Linked DNA regions of Oryzias latipes. The protein of the gene in region 1 interacts with the protein of each later gene in a pairwise test. Links are inferred from orthologs where the notes say so. Each region holds a gene or a part of one and is shown in the gene's direction. Other genes may lie near its edges.

Region 1 (5,828 bases):
CAGTTCTCACCGGGTTCTCCGTTTCCGCACATCATGACCACCTTTGACCGGCAAAGGCAGCACATCTCTGTGAGGCGAACTGATGAGGAGAGAAGAAGACACGTCACTTTACTGCATTGAGACACCAGCTTGATGATAATGATGGTATTTTATTTCGGACGCATACTTTAAAAGGAAAAGTAGGGGAAGATTAAAAAAAGAAATATTTGATGCAACCAATATACACTCATATAACTACACATAAACAAATATATTAATAGAAACATACACGCAGGGGAAAATCTGACCCACATTTGGCATGATTAAACCCCAACACATCCAAGTGGATCCCTGCTGGATTCAAATTTATAGTTTGGTTGTGTTTTGTATATATACATCTCTATCAATAATAACATTTCTATAGTTAGTCCTAAACTTCTATCTGTTTGGACATTGTTCCAAATTTAAACTTCTGTTCCAAGTTTGATTGTAAGAAATCACTGTCAGCCCATCTTGAGCATGGGAGGTCTTACCGTTCACTTCTTAAAGTCCAAAGGTTTGCATTAAAGACTCAATGGATTTCTATATGGACCTGTAAAAAGACAAAAACGTCACATTTTCCATTTTGCACATTCAAAGGACAAGGAAAAAAGCTGATATACTACATTTCTGTGGTATAAAAGTATCAATTATTGCTAATATTTCATATTTAAGATTGAAAAAATCTATTTTGTTGTTTCCCCTGACTGATTACACATTACAGACTACTGTTTTTTATTTTAGATCAGATACAAACACTAAATATGGGTGAATATGAACTTGTTTCACTATTGATCAAATGTCAGTAAATTATTTTTCCGATTAACAGATGATTTTCATGAACCCAGTTTTATGGGACAGCACGTAGTAGAGATTATATATCAATTTAACCTGGGATTAACTGACTATAAGAACAAAGGTTCCCTATCGAGGCCCCCCAACAGCTGTTGTTGGCATGGTGACAAGCTCACCGTGACCGTCAGTCTGAAAATAGTGTGTAAACATTTACCTGTAATCTGACGTTAAACACCATTGAGGCTACCAAGTAAAAGTAGGGGAATCGTATTCTCAGCCGCCATGCGAGATCAAAAAATATCAACAAAGTCCTCGTCAAGCCTTTGGAGAATAGTCCGTAAGTCCGACCAGCGGAGCCCGAAAACCGGAGCACCAGATACGAAAGACTCGCCATAAAAGCCCAACCCTGAGCGCTGTGTTCTTGGCTTACAAAGGCAACAGGCAAGGGGACGCTACAATGGCTGCAAGTGTTGGATGAAGCTCCATTCTTCTATCTTTCACCCTCAACGAGCTCCGTCTTTTGCTGCCGTTGTACTGGCATCTACTCCACCCTGTTAGTTTTCTACCGAGGACAGACATCGCTGCGACACACGGAAGTGCAGTAAAACCAGGATTAAATAAAACCCCGAGTAAAGACTGAAAGGACTTCCAGATCTGGGTGGTGGCTAAGGAAAAAAAAAACACGTCCTAGACACAACTACTATGGTTCTCATAAAACTAAACAAACAGAAACATAGAAGAGGTTTTTTGAGTTACTAAATATGTATATATGTTGTTTTTGCACCATTACAAAACCAGGTAAATTGGTTTGTTTTCCAGAAGTTCACTACACAAAAAATCTTGAACTGAAGCAAAGTACTACAGACTTTTTGGAAATACAATGACCAACTAATCATTGATTGTGTTACATTTTTGAAGCTAAATATCTTTGTCGTATTAGAATAGGCACACATTGACTTTTTTTTTCTTTTACTACTTTATTTTTTAATACAGTGCATGTTTGCTGGTATGGTATAATTGAATTTATCGTGGTGTAGGGGTGGGAGAGCAAGCTATCCTTCCATCTCCAAAAAAACTTTTTCAGCCTGAAAGGCATAATTCAGGGAAATTAAACAACACACCAAAAATTCCATTGTAATCGTAAATGAACCGTAGACGCGTCAAAACTGACGTCAGTTCCACCCTAGGTGTCACACCGTAAATATTCCGTCTTCGACGATTTCTTTTATTTTGTTTTCATTAAACCAAAATGTAATATTTTAGTTTTCAAATGTTATTTATATATAACTTTAAGCTTTATATTTAAGACCAGAGTAGCTGACCCTTTTTTTTACTACTAGTTTGAGGCTATCTTTTCTTTGGTTAAGGTGTCTGTGGGCGTGCGCCGGATGCCCTATCTTGTAGAGCTGGCTTCATTTTTTTTTCTCTTTAGCTATAGGGGTGGTGGCCGCTGTTTTGCTCCATAACTCATAGAGCAGCTCACGAAAGCATGGGAATGTTGCCAGGGAATTTCTGAGTTTAGTTGACCTAAAGTCCGAATTGAGTCGCCGCAACTTTATTTTCTAACAAGCCGTTCTCCGTTTAGAAAGTTTTGAGTTAGCGCGGTCGACTGTTAGCAAAGACTGTTGGGTAGTTTCACTTGAGAGGAGTTGCGGACAAAGGACAAGCTATCCGAGCTAACGTTAACTGGCTCTGGGCTAACTTAGCATTCCTGTAGCTGCGGCGCAATGCAGGCCATAAAGTGTGTCGTTGTTGGAGACGGGTAAGTTGAACCTAACTAAACTCACTGTGATATTTAACATTTAATCGACAGTTTTGGTATCAAACCCTGAAACCGCCAGTGATGTCGAAAAGTTGTCATTCGACATAAATGTTGCGTCTTATTTTTGGAGTTGTAAAGTTAGCCAAGTTATCGGTTAAATATTGGACTTTCAAGTTCTTTTCTTTTTTTTTCGAAATGTACAACATTTTGTATTGCATTTGTTTTTCCCCTGATATTACCGTTCTGGATCCAATGTTCCAGATTTTTTTATTTATTTACGCCAAAATCAGTGAATAGAGTTAGATTGATCTTAGATTTGTTTTGAAGTTATTTTTGAACAAAATGGGCAAAAATTATATGTACTTTTTCGAAGAGTTGAAATTTGTTTCTTCTTCTGTTGTATTGACACGGGCGTGTTTTTGTGTTACACAATAGTTAAATTAGTAGGTTTAGTTTGCAATATTTTAAAGACAGGATTGTCAATGAGCTAATATTGAAAGTCTGACTGATGTGTAATATGCTAGAGGTAAACACACTTGTAACGTCTTGTCGAGGGTGCGGCTGGTCCCACCGCAGCGGAGTCGTCCCTCGACCTCTCCGACTTTTGTTTTGTTTTCCGTTCCGACTTGAAGAAACTCTAAGGCACCAGTTCTCTTTAAAGTTTCAAAAGTTTAAAATATCTGCTTACTCATCAACTAGCCTGGAAGAGAAAAAAAAACCTTATTTCCTGAAATCAGTGCACTCATTCTATCAGGAGTGCTTCAATAAAACTGACATTACCTACGAGATGATAATAAATGATTAACTGGCAATTATTGATTTTTGATATTGGATTATTTTGATCCTGCTTTTATCCTACGGATGATAATGTGACTCTCAGACTTCCTCCTTTCAGTTTGTTAAAAACCAAACTTTGCGTAGTGTCCACATTTAACTTGAAACTATATTTTTAATGGTTGTAATTATTTCAAGTAACTTTGATGTTATTAAATAAAATGCTTGGACTGTTTTTAGCTTTGTAAATGTAAAATAATCGAACAACTTAAGCCTGACTTTAATGACAGCTTGTATATGTTTTATTTTCCTGAATTCTGAACATAACATTTCTCTTATTCAGTGCTGTGGGTAAGACATGTCTACTCATCAGCTACACCACCAATGCCTTTCCAGGAGAGTACATCCCCACAGTGTGAGTGTTTATTTATTCATAATGGCTAAGCTGTCTGTCATTCTTCTTCTGGACAGTTGTTGCTTAACTGTGTCTTTGTTTCATTTCTTCAACTGGTCTTATGGGGGAATATTAGTTTCCTTGTACATAAGAAGTCACTTTCTTTTTTAACAGGCAGCTGTTTGGGTTCAGAGAAGCATTTGTTATGTAAAATTACCAGAAGTGCAACCAGCTAGTTTATTTTCTTAGTTGTGGGATCTGTGGCTTTTTGGGAATTTGTCACTCAAAACACTTTGGTTCATTCTGATTATTTATAAATGTACATTCTGCTTTTATTCTGATTCAAGAACAAGCTGAAAACATGTACTGCTGATGAACAAGGCTTTGATTTTTGACCCCCAAAAAACCTGTTTGATTTATCTAATGATCATAGAAATTCAGAAATATGTAGCAAGGCTTGAATGACATAACTGAGTTTTTATGAATGCTTGATTCTCACAGGTTTGATAACTACTCTGCCAATGTTATGGTGGATGGGAAGCCGGTGAACCTGGGCCTTTGGGATACAGCTGGACAAGAAGACTACGACAGACTCCGCCCACTTTCTTACCCACAGACGGTACAATGACAAAAATAGTCAGACAAGGTGTTATTTAGTTGATAACTTTTATAAATAATTAATTGGGAGCATTTGTGGTATTCAAATGTAGAAGAGGGTTTTAAAGAAAGTTAAACAGACCACCTTAGCGATAGGTTATTTATTTTTATTTATTTTTTGCTCAACAGGAAATGAATTTCATGGACTCTGAACCTTTTTTGTCTTTGTCTTACAGGATGTGTTCCTCATCTGCTTCTCTCTTGTGAGTCCGGCCTCATTTGAAAACGTCCGTGCCAAGGTTAGTGGTGCCTGAGCAAAAAACACTAATAATACAGATGTGAACACGTTGACTTTTTTAATGTTGGTAATTAAAATACAGACCTGTGTTTTTTCATATACAGTTTATTTTTATTTTTTTGTAAAAAAAAAAAAAGTGTATTTAAAGAACAATTTCAAGAGATGTGTACTATTGATTGGCTTTTTATGTAGAAAACTGGCCCAAAACACATACATTTTATTCATATCTAAGGCTACATTTTTACTATTCCCCAATCTTCTTACTTTTTGTGTTTCTTACACTTTTTTGTTAAATATTTAAAACATCCAGCATTAACAGTAAAGTTGGATCCCAATTAAAGACACCAGCATAGCCGCGAGCATCATGGCTCTTATGTTTTGGAGAGATAGAAACGCACAGGAAACTGCACTTTCCCGAGTGGCGTAGTTTTTGTTTATCTTTCACAAAACAGGAGTGCTGCTTTTTAAGCTTATTAAGGGGGGGTAAAAAACTTTTTATCCTTAAATTGTTGCAGTTATGCAATCGGAAATATCTTTTTGTTAAAATGATTTTGTGTTTTTGTGTAGTGGTACCCAGAGGTGAGACACCACTGTCCCAACACTCCCATTATCCTGGTGGGCACCAAGTTGGATCTAAGAGATGACAAGGAAACTACGGAGAAGCTGAAGGAGAAGAAACTCTCCCCCATCACTTATCCCCAAGGTCTAGCTATGGCCAAAGAGATCGGTAGGAGTGTTTTCTCATCCTGCATGTTTTGGATGAATTTGTTGAAATAAAAGGGATCAGAAAAGAACCACTTTCTTTAGGGGACTCAAAGGCTCCTCTTGTCTTTTTTTTCTTCCTCAGGTTCTGTCAAGTACCTGGAATGCTCAGCCCTGACTCAGCGTGGCCTTAAAACGGTCTTCGATGAGGCTATTCGGGCCGTCCTGTGCCCCCCACCTGCAAAGAAGAAGAGCAAGAAGTGTTCTCTCCTTTGAGACGTCCTGCAGCACAGCAGTTAGAGGGGATGTGACTCCTAGTGGGGAGCGCGGCTGCATTCACAGGAGAAACACACTAGTATGTAAAAACAATGTGCTTCAGATTCTTTCCTTCCATAAGTGTAATTACAGCTGTTTTAATGAAAAAAAAATCAACCTAGATGTAGGAGAGGGGTTTGGACTTCAGAGAACCCTTGATAATTGTATACTGT
Region 2 (4,499 bases), on another chromosome or scaffold:
CCTCGATAATAAAAAATCTGCGGTCTGACCTCCACCAAGAACTGAAGATAACTGAGCCTGAAATTGACCTGCTGGATGAAGCTTTCAAACCAGCTTTCTCCACAGTGACCACGTCTGGAAACACCAAGTTATCAAGAGACGTCCAGTCAAAACGAAGCCGCAGCTCTCCATCTCTGTCCTTGCTGTGCACAGAGCAGCTGTCAAACACCTCTCTGGGTGATTGTGGGAAGGCCCCTAGATCTGATGGCAAAAAGAAGCAGCCCTCAGAATCAGACCTTTTGTTGTGCGTTCACAAAAACGGTGATGCGATCTCTGCTGGAAACACTCAAAAAGTTTGTCCCGCTGATCCAACGCATGAATCAAAGGGGCCCAAAGAGCAACGAACCTCCTCTTTGCAGATTCAAGCTTCCTCAAAGGAAACCCGGTTGAGTCATGTTTTAAAACCTTTGATTTTAAAGGACTTTCCGCAGGTCACACGCTTCCCAGGCACAGCCAGAAAATGTCTGAAGCACGAGGTTCCTCGGGAGAAAACGGAAAAGTCAAACAATGCAGAAAAGATCAATGAGATTCAAATGATAGAAAGTGGACAGAGGATCTCGGTTTGTTCACAGGAGACAACCAATTTCCTGGAGCTTCCAAACCTCGATGACGAAGAAGGATTTGGGAGAAACCTGGAAGAGCTGGACTTGGTGGAGTCCTGGGAAGATCTTTGCTCCACCAAGCAGTGGGTCACAAGTCCTCTCCATTCTCCAGATGTGGAGGAATTGTTTGACAAGCTATCACCCTTCAGGTCAAGCACGGATACTCCAGACTTGGATACTGTAAAGATTTCATCTCTTTCACTGGATAAATTCAACCAAAGCTCCCAGCATTCCAGCACTGACACAGAAACTAAACTGACTCATTGGCCATCAGCACCAGTGCAAATGGAACTGAGCAGATGTAATGCAAAACAACCAATAAAGAGCAGCACAATAAAGCCAAAGAATACAGTATCATCTCAGAAATTTCTCAGACAATCATCTTGTGATGCAGCCTTGACAGAGAAAAGAGAGGACAGTTATCTGTCCAAGCACAGGCCCTGTTCTCTGAACCTGGACTTGGGGTATCGATGCATTAAAGATATCTCAAACCAGCAAAATCGAGACTCAGAGTTTTCTGCCACACATAGAGGATTACTGTCCGGTGGAAACAAAGTCCATTCAGAGCTGGATCTGTTTCTAAATGATCGTCAGGCGCCTCTTCGGCGAAACTCTGCGCCAGTCAGTGTGTCGTCAGTGCGCACAGCCTTCATGATCAAAACGTGTCAGGCCAGAGCTGTGCCAGTCGTCCCTCCAAAGGTGCAGTACACCCAAACTCCTCAAACCAGACAAGAAAGTCATCTTAACCCAGTAAAGAAACAAGAAAGAGAATGTCCAAAAATGAGTGTAGAGACAAGCAATGCCGCTCCTGCTCCAAATATGTCAGATCTGAAGGAGGAGCTAGAGAACAAAGAGCCCAAACACCTAAAACATCCAAATCTTGACAAACCGGTTGAGTCTGGGAAGACCACATCTACTCCAGAACTGCCCATCATTACCAGGAGACACAACCCCAATTTGGAAGTGTTTGTAGATTGTCCCAGACCCACCAAAGGGAATGTACACCAAAGGCCTTCCTTCAGGAACAGACAGAGACCTCAGAGTCTCATTCTGCTCAGTCCCCCTTTCCCCATCATGGACTACCCCTCATCAGGGGACGACGGAAAGCTCCTTTCATCTATCAAGAGTCTGAATGACACGTCGGCAGTGAACGTCCTCTCTAAAGACATAGCAGAGAGTATCAGGACATCAGAGGGACTATCTCTTCAAAATAAAATGACTATTCCAAAAAGTGGGCAAAGACTGGAAACATCAACCAGCTGCTTCTACCAACCTCAGAGGAGGTCAATGATATTTGACAGCAGAAGCCACAGGCAAATAGAGTGACTGCAGTCCAGTGTATGGCATCTAAAAATGTTCAGCGTTTGAGGAACTTTGCCTTGGAGATGGAGGGCTCGCTGTTATGATAATCGGTTGGAAGTCTGCTTGAAAAATAAAGCATATGTTGATGTAAAGGATTCCTGATGAATATTTTCTTAGTGTTCTGAGTCTCTTAGCTTTAACATTTGCTCAGATATCAAGCTGTAGTATTCTGCAAGGAGCCACACCTCCAGTGAAAATAAAATCTCTATCTTTGCCAACAAATGCTTTCATAAACCTAACAGTTTTACAAAAAATTGCTTGAAGCTAATTTCTCCTAATATTTTCTGTACAAAAAAATGAAACTCACATTAAAATGTTATGATTTTTTACCATTATTATTATTATTTTTTTAACATATTATCAAGAATGAAATAGTACAAACTACACGGATAAAGAAAAAAAATAGTGGGCCGGCTCTTTTCAAAAAGGGTTTTGGAAGAAAACAAAAAAGTGGACTCACAGATTATAGCCAATAAGGATTACGTTTTAGATAAATTTAGGTTTTATTGAAAGCCCTCCTCTAATTTGATTTTTTAAATTAGTATATGACTAAAAACAAAAATATTTTGAAATGTAATGATTTCCTGAGGGTGCCAGTCCTCCTGCATCTGCATGCCTTCTATCTAAATGTGTTTTTACTTCAGCAATAAGGTCTTTAAAGTTTTTTTTCTGTTGTGTTCAAACATCTGTGCACAACGACATTTATTTCTAGATGTACAAAATTGAAAGCAAATTTAAAATCCTCTTCTTTTTTTGTTGAATGTCCCCCCAATAAGCCATTGTTCTTTGTATCCTGGCCAAGTTTGGCTGATTTAAAAGTTTTAAGTTTTTATCTTTGATTATTAAAACTAATTTAAAGCACTGATTTGATTTAATCGGCTTTTGATTTCAGAGGACTTAGAAACATCATGAACCGTTATATTTGCTAATATTTACAAGTGTTTTATTCCATTTCTGCACATTCATTTTGCATTTAGAAAAATAGACATGAGTGGAGGGGTCTTATAGTAAAACATCAAACATATGTATAACCTAATTTGATTGATATTCCCACACCTGGTCTCACAGAAAGTTACAGCACAGTTATAAAAATATTTAACTTTTTGCAGTTTTTTATTTCATATTAATATTTTGGCAGCAATTTTATCAACTCTAAGCTTGTTTTTGTTTATCATCATTAGAAATAACAAGTTTAATCAATCATTTTTTCCTACTTTTAGTGCTCAGGAAACTTTGCCCTCAGATTTTTCTAAGAAATACTGTTCTTTTTGAATATTTTAGAGTTACTTAAATTGTTCTTTAAGTTTTAGACAAGAACTTAAAGATGAGAAACTTCTCATCATGTGCCTTTAATGAACAAGCACATTCTTCCCCACACCTGCTTCCAAAAGTCCAATTTCCCCAGCCACCCTGTAACAAAATTAGGGAGAGTCACATCTATACAAATCTTAAGACTGTTACGTTATAAATATTCAGTTACAACAATTACAATTAAGTCAAACAACTGTAATAAATCTAATTGGTTGCTTTAAAACCCATCTTAAAATTTCTCAACAAAATTTCCATGTAAAAATTCTATTGTGAAATGTTTCCCTCTTGTTTTTAAAGAAGCACAAAAACGTAAAATTATTTAGGTTGAAAATGTTCAGATGTGTTTTCTGAATGTACCAGGTAGTCTCAAAACAGCTTAGTAAATGTTGATATCTCCGTTTTTTGTTTTACAAAATAGCTCACTGAAAGCAGCATTTTAGGCTGAGCTGCTGCCTGAATGAAGAGGGGCCCCAAGATTGATGGGGACTTTAATCTAATGCGATTCTCCTCCATCTGCACGTGCTGCATGGGGATTTATGTTACATTTGCTCCAAACACCGAAATGCTGCTCCTACAAATGGACAATATCTGGCTGTTTTTCAACTTTTTGATTTCTATCTAGAGATTGATCAGCCTTGGCCACACTTTAACCATGAGATCAGCTTGATTTTTCGCCGCCAGATGGCGTTAATGATCCACACCGAACCAGAAAATTACCAAAGCGGATTCTGAAATTCAGTGCTTGAAGGGTAAAAAATAAATACAGACTGAGCTGGAAAGAACCAGCAGGTGTTCTGATTGTGTAAGCAGACGAAAACGCAGCTTCCATGTCCGCAAAGTTGCGTTTTAATTAGAGGTAATTTGGTTTAAAACCAAAAAACTTTCTCTTTATAATTTTGCTTTTTGTTGTTGGCTGTTCCTAAAAGGGCCAAAAATATTAAACACCACTTAGTGGTCCTTAGATCATATTATTGTTTATAAGATTCATTTCGTGGGTTATATTGCTGCGTCGCGGTGCGCTTAGTACTTCGCCCTACTGTTTCTCAATTTAGTAAGTATTACAATCTTCGTAATAGTTAAAAACAACAAAAGGGGTTTTATCCAGACACCTGACCTATAGGCCCTACATACTCCACTGACCAAATTGGCGCACATGGATACTAACTTTGCATCAGCGTCTGCTCC
Region 3 (5,063 bases), on another chromosome or scaffold:
TGTTTAGAATAGATGAAACATTGCAGGAGGAGTTAAGCAGCAAAAAATGGAGGAAGATACTAGAATAAAGAAAGAGAAACAGGAAAACGAAGGTTGAATACTTTATTGTATTCTTCCCACTAGAATAAACGGCGTTCTTATAGGTAGGATGGCTCAGACTTCATGGGTCCCGCAGCAGACTGGGGTAATTAGAAAAACCATGACAGTGCGGTCCGGTTTACGTGGTGATAATGTGAAGCCTCACTCGTGTTTGCAGACAACCTGACTGAAGCCCTGCAGAAGCTGAAGCTGGCGTCCGGCGACGGCACCGCCCACGGCGTGGACATCTGCCTGGACTGTCTACTGAAAGCGCTCGCCAGCAGCAGTGAGTACAGAACGCTCTTTCGGGTCAGCCAGAAATCTTTGGGCCAGTTTTTGACGTTGAGAGCAGCCACTTCAGAACATGTGATCTAAAGGAAAAAATGGCCGCAGTGCCACAGGTCCAAACGATTGGCAGAACACGTGCAGAACCGCATGACCTGAAAAAGGTTTAGGTGGGAAAAAGAAACCCAAAGTGTGTTGATGTAATTCTTTGGGTCATTCTCAGACAGATCCACGTCAACAACCACCAGATAAAACAAAAGTATAATTATTGATTCTGCATGAAATGTGAGCCGGCGGGTTTGGAAAGTTCTGGTCTGAAAGCAGAGTTCCGGTTCTGGTGCGATCTTCTTAACTGGCCTTTTTTCTCCTGCAGACACTGAAGCCAGCATGAAGATCCAGGAGATGGGCATCCTTCCTCTTTTTCCCAACCTGCTCAACCCCCAGTCTTCATGCACCCCCAAAGTGGCCAACATAATAGCAGAACTGGCTAAAAATGGTACGGTCCACTTCCAAAGCTCCTGTGCTCTCAGGGCTGCTATGAGTCTCTTTCTGGTTTAAATGCTTCATTTTTAAATGTTTTGATGAGAATCAAAGGTGGGTGTTAGAACCCCGTGGTTGTACGCAGTCAGGCCTTCTCCTCAGGGCTTTTGGGAGAGCTTGGTAGAGCTGAACTAACTGCAGGCGTGCTCAGCTCCGTTTTCCTCTTCGTCTCTGCGTAAGGTCCGGAAAAAGCCTTCATGTGAATGCAGCCTGGAGCAGGAAAAGGTTCTGATAATGAGCGGGTTCTGAGCTGGCAGGGCTGCAGTTAATGATGGGTGGGAGGCAGCTTGGCCAACCTGCCCCCGGGCCGCCGGCATTTATCTGTCACTGCTTCCGGAAGAGTCAGCCACTTCGCCACAGACGGCTCCTTCCATTTCAGACAGTTGAACGATTCATTATAAACATGGTTTGACCTGCAGAGTTTCTTCTAGTTTGGCCTCAATTATCAGGAAATGTCATAAAAGCTGGACCGACCTGAAAAACACTGAAAGAGGAACCATCCGCCTGCCTGGGGCTCCGTCTGTGAAAGAACGAATATCTGCAGTTTGATGTTCTAATGATGTGAAACACATCTGCACGTTTTGATGTGTTTTGTTTGTTTTACAAATCAGAATTACCCTGCATGAGGGTCTCTTACCCTTCCATGGGGTTCTTTTACCCCTGCATGAGTTTTTTTTACCCTTCCATGAGCCCCTTTGTATGTAGAATAATAAAAGCATAATAATTTTAAGCTAATGTTGCTTCGTTGGCCCTTTTTTGTTTTTCCGTGTTATTTCCGACAGACTCGTGCACGCATGTGTAATATTTGTAAAATGAGTCATTTTAGAGCCTTTACAATATTAATGATCTACACATTTTCTCTGTTTGAGAAACCATGTAACACTGTATGGATGATGTCTCAAACTCGCGACCCCCCAAGACAATACTTTGCTGCCCCCACCTTAATATTAAAATTCAATGTTTGTGCATCCCGCCAGTTTTTTTTGAATGACACTTTTCAGTGTTGTGTGCGGAACTGACGAACCAATCATTCACGGTGGGGTAAATGACTGTTGGGGGAGTGACAATGAGCGAGTTTGAAGCAGGAAAAACATCTAGAGCAGGAAACCTGACAGCCCCCTCCCCAGACCAGGAGGAGTTCCTTACTTTCCTTTTTAGAAAGTGTCTATTCGCATGTAATTTTCTAAATGCACGCAGCCGGTGCTAAAGTTTTTTTCTGGCTCGCATGGAACCAGAGAAGGGTTATGGTTAACGCTAACCAATAGGTTCCCGAGCGCGTCTGTGTCTGCTGCTCGCCGCTCCCCCAGAGGATGGGTCAACTGCAGAGAATAAATGTCACACAACTACATGCTAACGGGGCTTTAACATTAAACACATGCAACAACAACAAGATTCTTAGATTCTTAAACACACTTAAATACAATGCAGCAATAGGCGTCTTTGAGATGAAGCAGCCCCGTACCTGTGTTTATAGGGGCTAAACCCATACCTGTGGCGCTGTACCTGTGCCTGCGGGGGCCGTACCTGTGCCTGCGGGGGCCGCACATGTGCCTGCTGGGGCCGTACCTGTGCCTGCAGGGGCCGTACCTGTGCCTGCAGGGGCCGTACCTGTGCCTGCTGGGGCCGTACCTGTGCCTGCTGGGGCCGTACCTGTGCCTGCGGGGGCCGTACCTGTGCATGCTGGGCTATAACTAAGCTCCTGTTTTGTCTGCAGAGTTCATGCGGAGTTCCTGTGTGGATGCAGGCCTCATCCCTCCTCTGGTTCAGCTCCTGAACTCCACCGACCAGGAGGTGCTGCTGCAGACTGGCCGAGCTCTTGGTAACATCTGCTATGACAGCCGTAAGTGGGAGTTTGCTTCTCTTTTTTTCAGGTTTCAGGTCTTTGGCACCATCACATCAGTGCTAGCTACTGAACATTTCAGCTTCATTTCCTTCATTTTGTGGGAAATGCTGGGTTTGCAATAGAAGGGAACAATGATTTATTCAATCTCACACTTCTCAGCAGGAACTTCAACTCTTGGGTCCAAATGATGTGCTGTGTGTTACTTCAGTTGATACCTGCTCTCTACATCAGTCTATCTCTGTCATTAAGTGGAACGAACCCTAAATGTAGGAAGTGTCCTTGATACAGTTGGATTACACAACACGCTACAAAACCTTTGCTGTTGAGCTCTCTCCCTACTATCATCTTTTTCATCTTAATACATCTTATCACTACTGTACTCTCCAAATGTTCATAATCCAAAAATAAATGCTTGATTCTCAGACGATGCTCTAAAAATTTGTAATCAACATTTTTTTTGACTCTGCACATTTCTTCTTGAATTTACTGCAGCAATAGAGGCACAAAACCTGTTTGTCATGACAGGAAAAGACATCTCCTGTTTGCAAACTTCTTAAAAAAATTAAAATGACTCCAATTTAACACTGATTGGCTAAATAAAGAAAATTAATGAATAAAATCAATTTTTACCATGAAAAGAATTGTGATTGATGGCTTATGTCCTGGAATGAACTTACAGTGAGGCAAAAAAGTATTCAGTCAGCCACCAATTGTGTAAGATCTCCCACTTAGAAAGATGAGAGGCCTGTAATTTTCATTATAGGTAAACCTCAACTGAGACAAAATGAGAAAAAAAATCAGAAAATTATATTTTCTGATTTTTAAAGCATTTATTTGTAAATCATGGCGGAAAATAAGTATTTGATAAATAAAAAAGTTCAACTCTATACTTTGTTATAACCCTTTGTTGGCAACATTTTCTTTGAGTCTTCTCAAGGTTTTCACAAACTGTTGCTGGTATTTTGGTCCATTCCTCCATGCAGATCTCCTCTAGAGCAGTGATGTTTTGGGGCTGTCGCAGAGAAACACAGACTTTCAGCTCCCTCCAAAGATTTTCTATGGGGTTGAGATCTGGAGACTGGCTAGGCCACTCCAGGACCTCCAGGACATGTTGCCACTCCTTTGTTACCCGGGCAACGTGTGTTTGGGCTGGTTGTCCTGCTGACCCAGTCATGTTTTATCTTCAAGGTCAATGCTGATGGAAGAAGGTTTTCACTTAAAATCTGACGATTAATGGCCCCATTCATTCTTTCCTTTACACGGATCAGTCGTCCTGGCTGAAAAACAGCCACATAGCATGATGTTTCCACCCCCATGCTTTTTAGCTGTACCAGGAGTCTGAACCCTCTCTAGAATCCCCTCCAGACCTGGGATGTGTTGACAGTAAACCAAGACATCCCAGGTCTGTCCACCACTCAGATTCCCAGGTCCAGAGAACCAGAAAGTGATGACATCATGGGGGTGCAGATGACACGAAACATTTGGGCTTTTCACTAGACTATTTGGAAGATGTGTAACTTTAAAGCACAGCTTTGATGAATTCTCATCATGATATGGGAGTGTAGTGGGCTTTTTCCCACCAGATGTTTCAAAAACGCGAACAGTTTCCCCCTTATGCGAGGACATCCAGGGCTACGTCCCTGCTGGTTTCCCAACATACCTTTCTCTGCCTTGTTCTAATTGGCTGGACACACCTGATCCAGGTAATCAACTGTGAGATGGGCAAGAACATCTGGAAAACCTGCATTCCCTTTCAAGAAGCTCAAGGACACTGTACCAGAGCAAATATACAGTAAAGAGCAGATGACAGAAAGGGAAATTGGAGAGCAAACCTGATTTGAACAGATTTGACTTGGGATTTTCAGTTTGGGAGAGAGTCTATGTTACGGTGGTCTGGAGCAGGAGAATTCCAGAGTTTGGTAGCGTAGCAGCTGAAGGTTCAACTCCCCATGGTAATGAGCCGGGCCGGGGGAGCGGAGAGCTGGACGTAAGAAGAGGAGCAGAAGGAGTATTGATAAGGAGAAGGTCCCAAAGAGGAGGAGGAGTCAGGTTATGGAGCAGGAGTTTTAATTTGTTGCTGGAGGTTCTGGGAAGCCAGTGCAGCTGCTGGAGCAGCTGGTGAGGAAAAGGCCTGACTGCATGTGGGGCGATGTGACCAAAGGATGGGGTTCTGCAGATGATGCAGAGTTCTGGGCCGGTCGGAGCGTATAGAGGTTTTTTTGAGGGTAACCAAAGAGGAGAGGATTACGTGACCAGAGTGGACGGTGAGGTGGGGCGAAGACGATCAATGAAGTGAAAATGGGCAGAGCAAGCAACA

Evidence for each region.
Region 2: the proteins of ras-related C3 botulinum toxin substrate 1 (region 1) and arhgap31 interact in a two-hybrid assay, tested with the Homo sapiens proteins (2 studies listed by BioGRID and IntAct, with this or other methods). The link is inferred for Oryzias latipes from reciprocal best matches to the Homo sapiens genes RAC1 and ARHGAP31.
Region 3: the proteins of ras-related C3 botulinum toxin substrate 1 (region 1) and rap1gds1 interact in binary tests that used the Homo sapiens proteins (3 or more experiments, as listed by UniProt). The link is inferred for Oryzias latipes from reciprocal best matches to the Homo sapiens genes RAC1 and RAP1GDS1.

Annotation. Positions count from the first base shown.
Region 1 is NC_019866.2:11,731,802-11,737,629, reverse strand, and holds the start of ras-related C3 botulinum toxin substrate 1, read left to right. Parts: upstream 1-1,992; 5' UTR 1,993-2,540; coding exon 2,541-2,575; intron 2,576-3,692; coding exon 3,693-3,764; intron 3,765-4,244; coding exon 4,245-4,362; intron 4,363-4,576; coding exon 4,577-4,639; intron 4,640-5,205; coding exon 5,206-5,365; intron 5,366-5,485; coding exon 5,486-5,616; 3' UTR 5,617-5,828. UniProt on the Homo sapiens protein: Plasma membrane-associated small GTPase which cycles between active GTP-bound and inactive GDP-bound states.
Region 2 is NC_019872.2:14,130,632-14,135,130, reverse strand, and holds the end of arhgap31 (rho GTPase-activating protein 31), read left to right. Parts: coding exon 1-1,967; 3' UTR 1,968-2,864; downstream 2,865-4,499. UniProt on the Homo sapiens protein: Functions as a GTPase-activating protein (GAP) for RAC1 and CDC42. Required for cell spreading, polarized lamellipodia formation and cell migration.
Region 3 is NC_019876.2:29,299,172-29,304,234, reverse strand, and holds part of rap1gds1 (rap1 GTPase-GDP dissociation stimulator 1), read left to right. Parts: intron 1-256; coding exon 257-364; intron 365-736; coding exon 737-859; intron 860-2,617; coding exon 2,618-2,743; intron 2,744-5,063. UniProt on the Homo sapiens protein: Acts as a GEF (guanine nucleotide exchange factor) for the Rho family of small GTP-binding proteins (G proteins) that stimulates the dissociation of GDP to enable subsequent binding of GTP.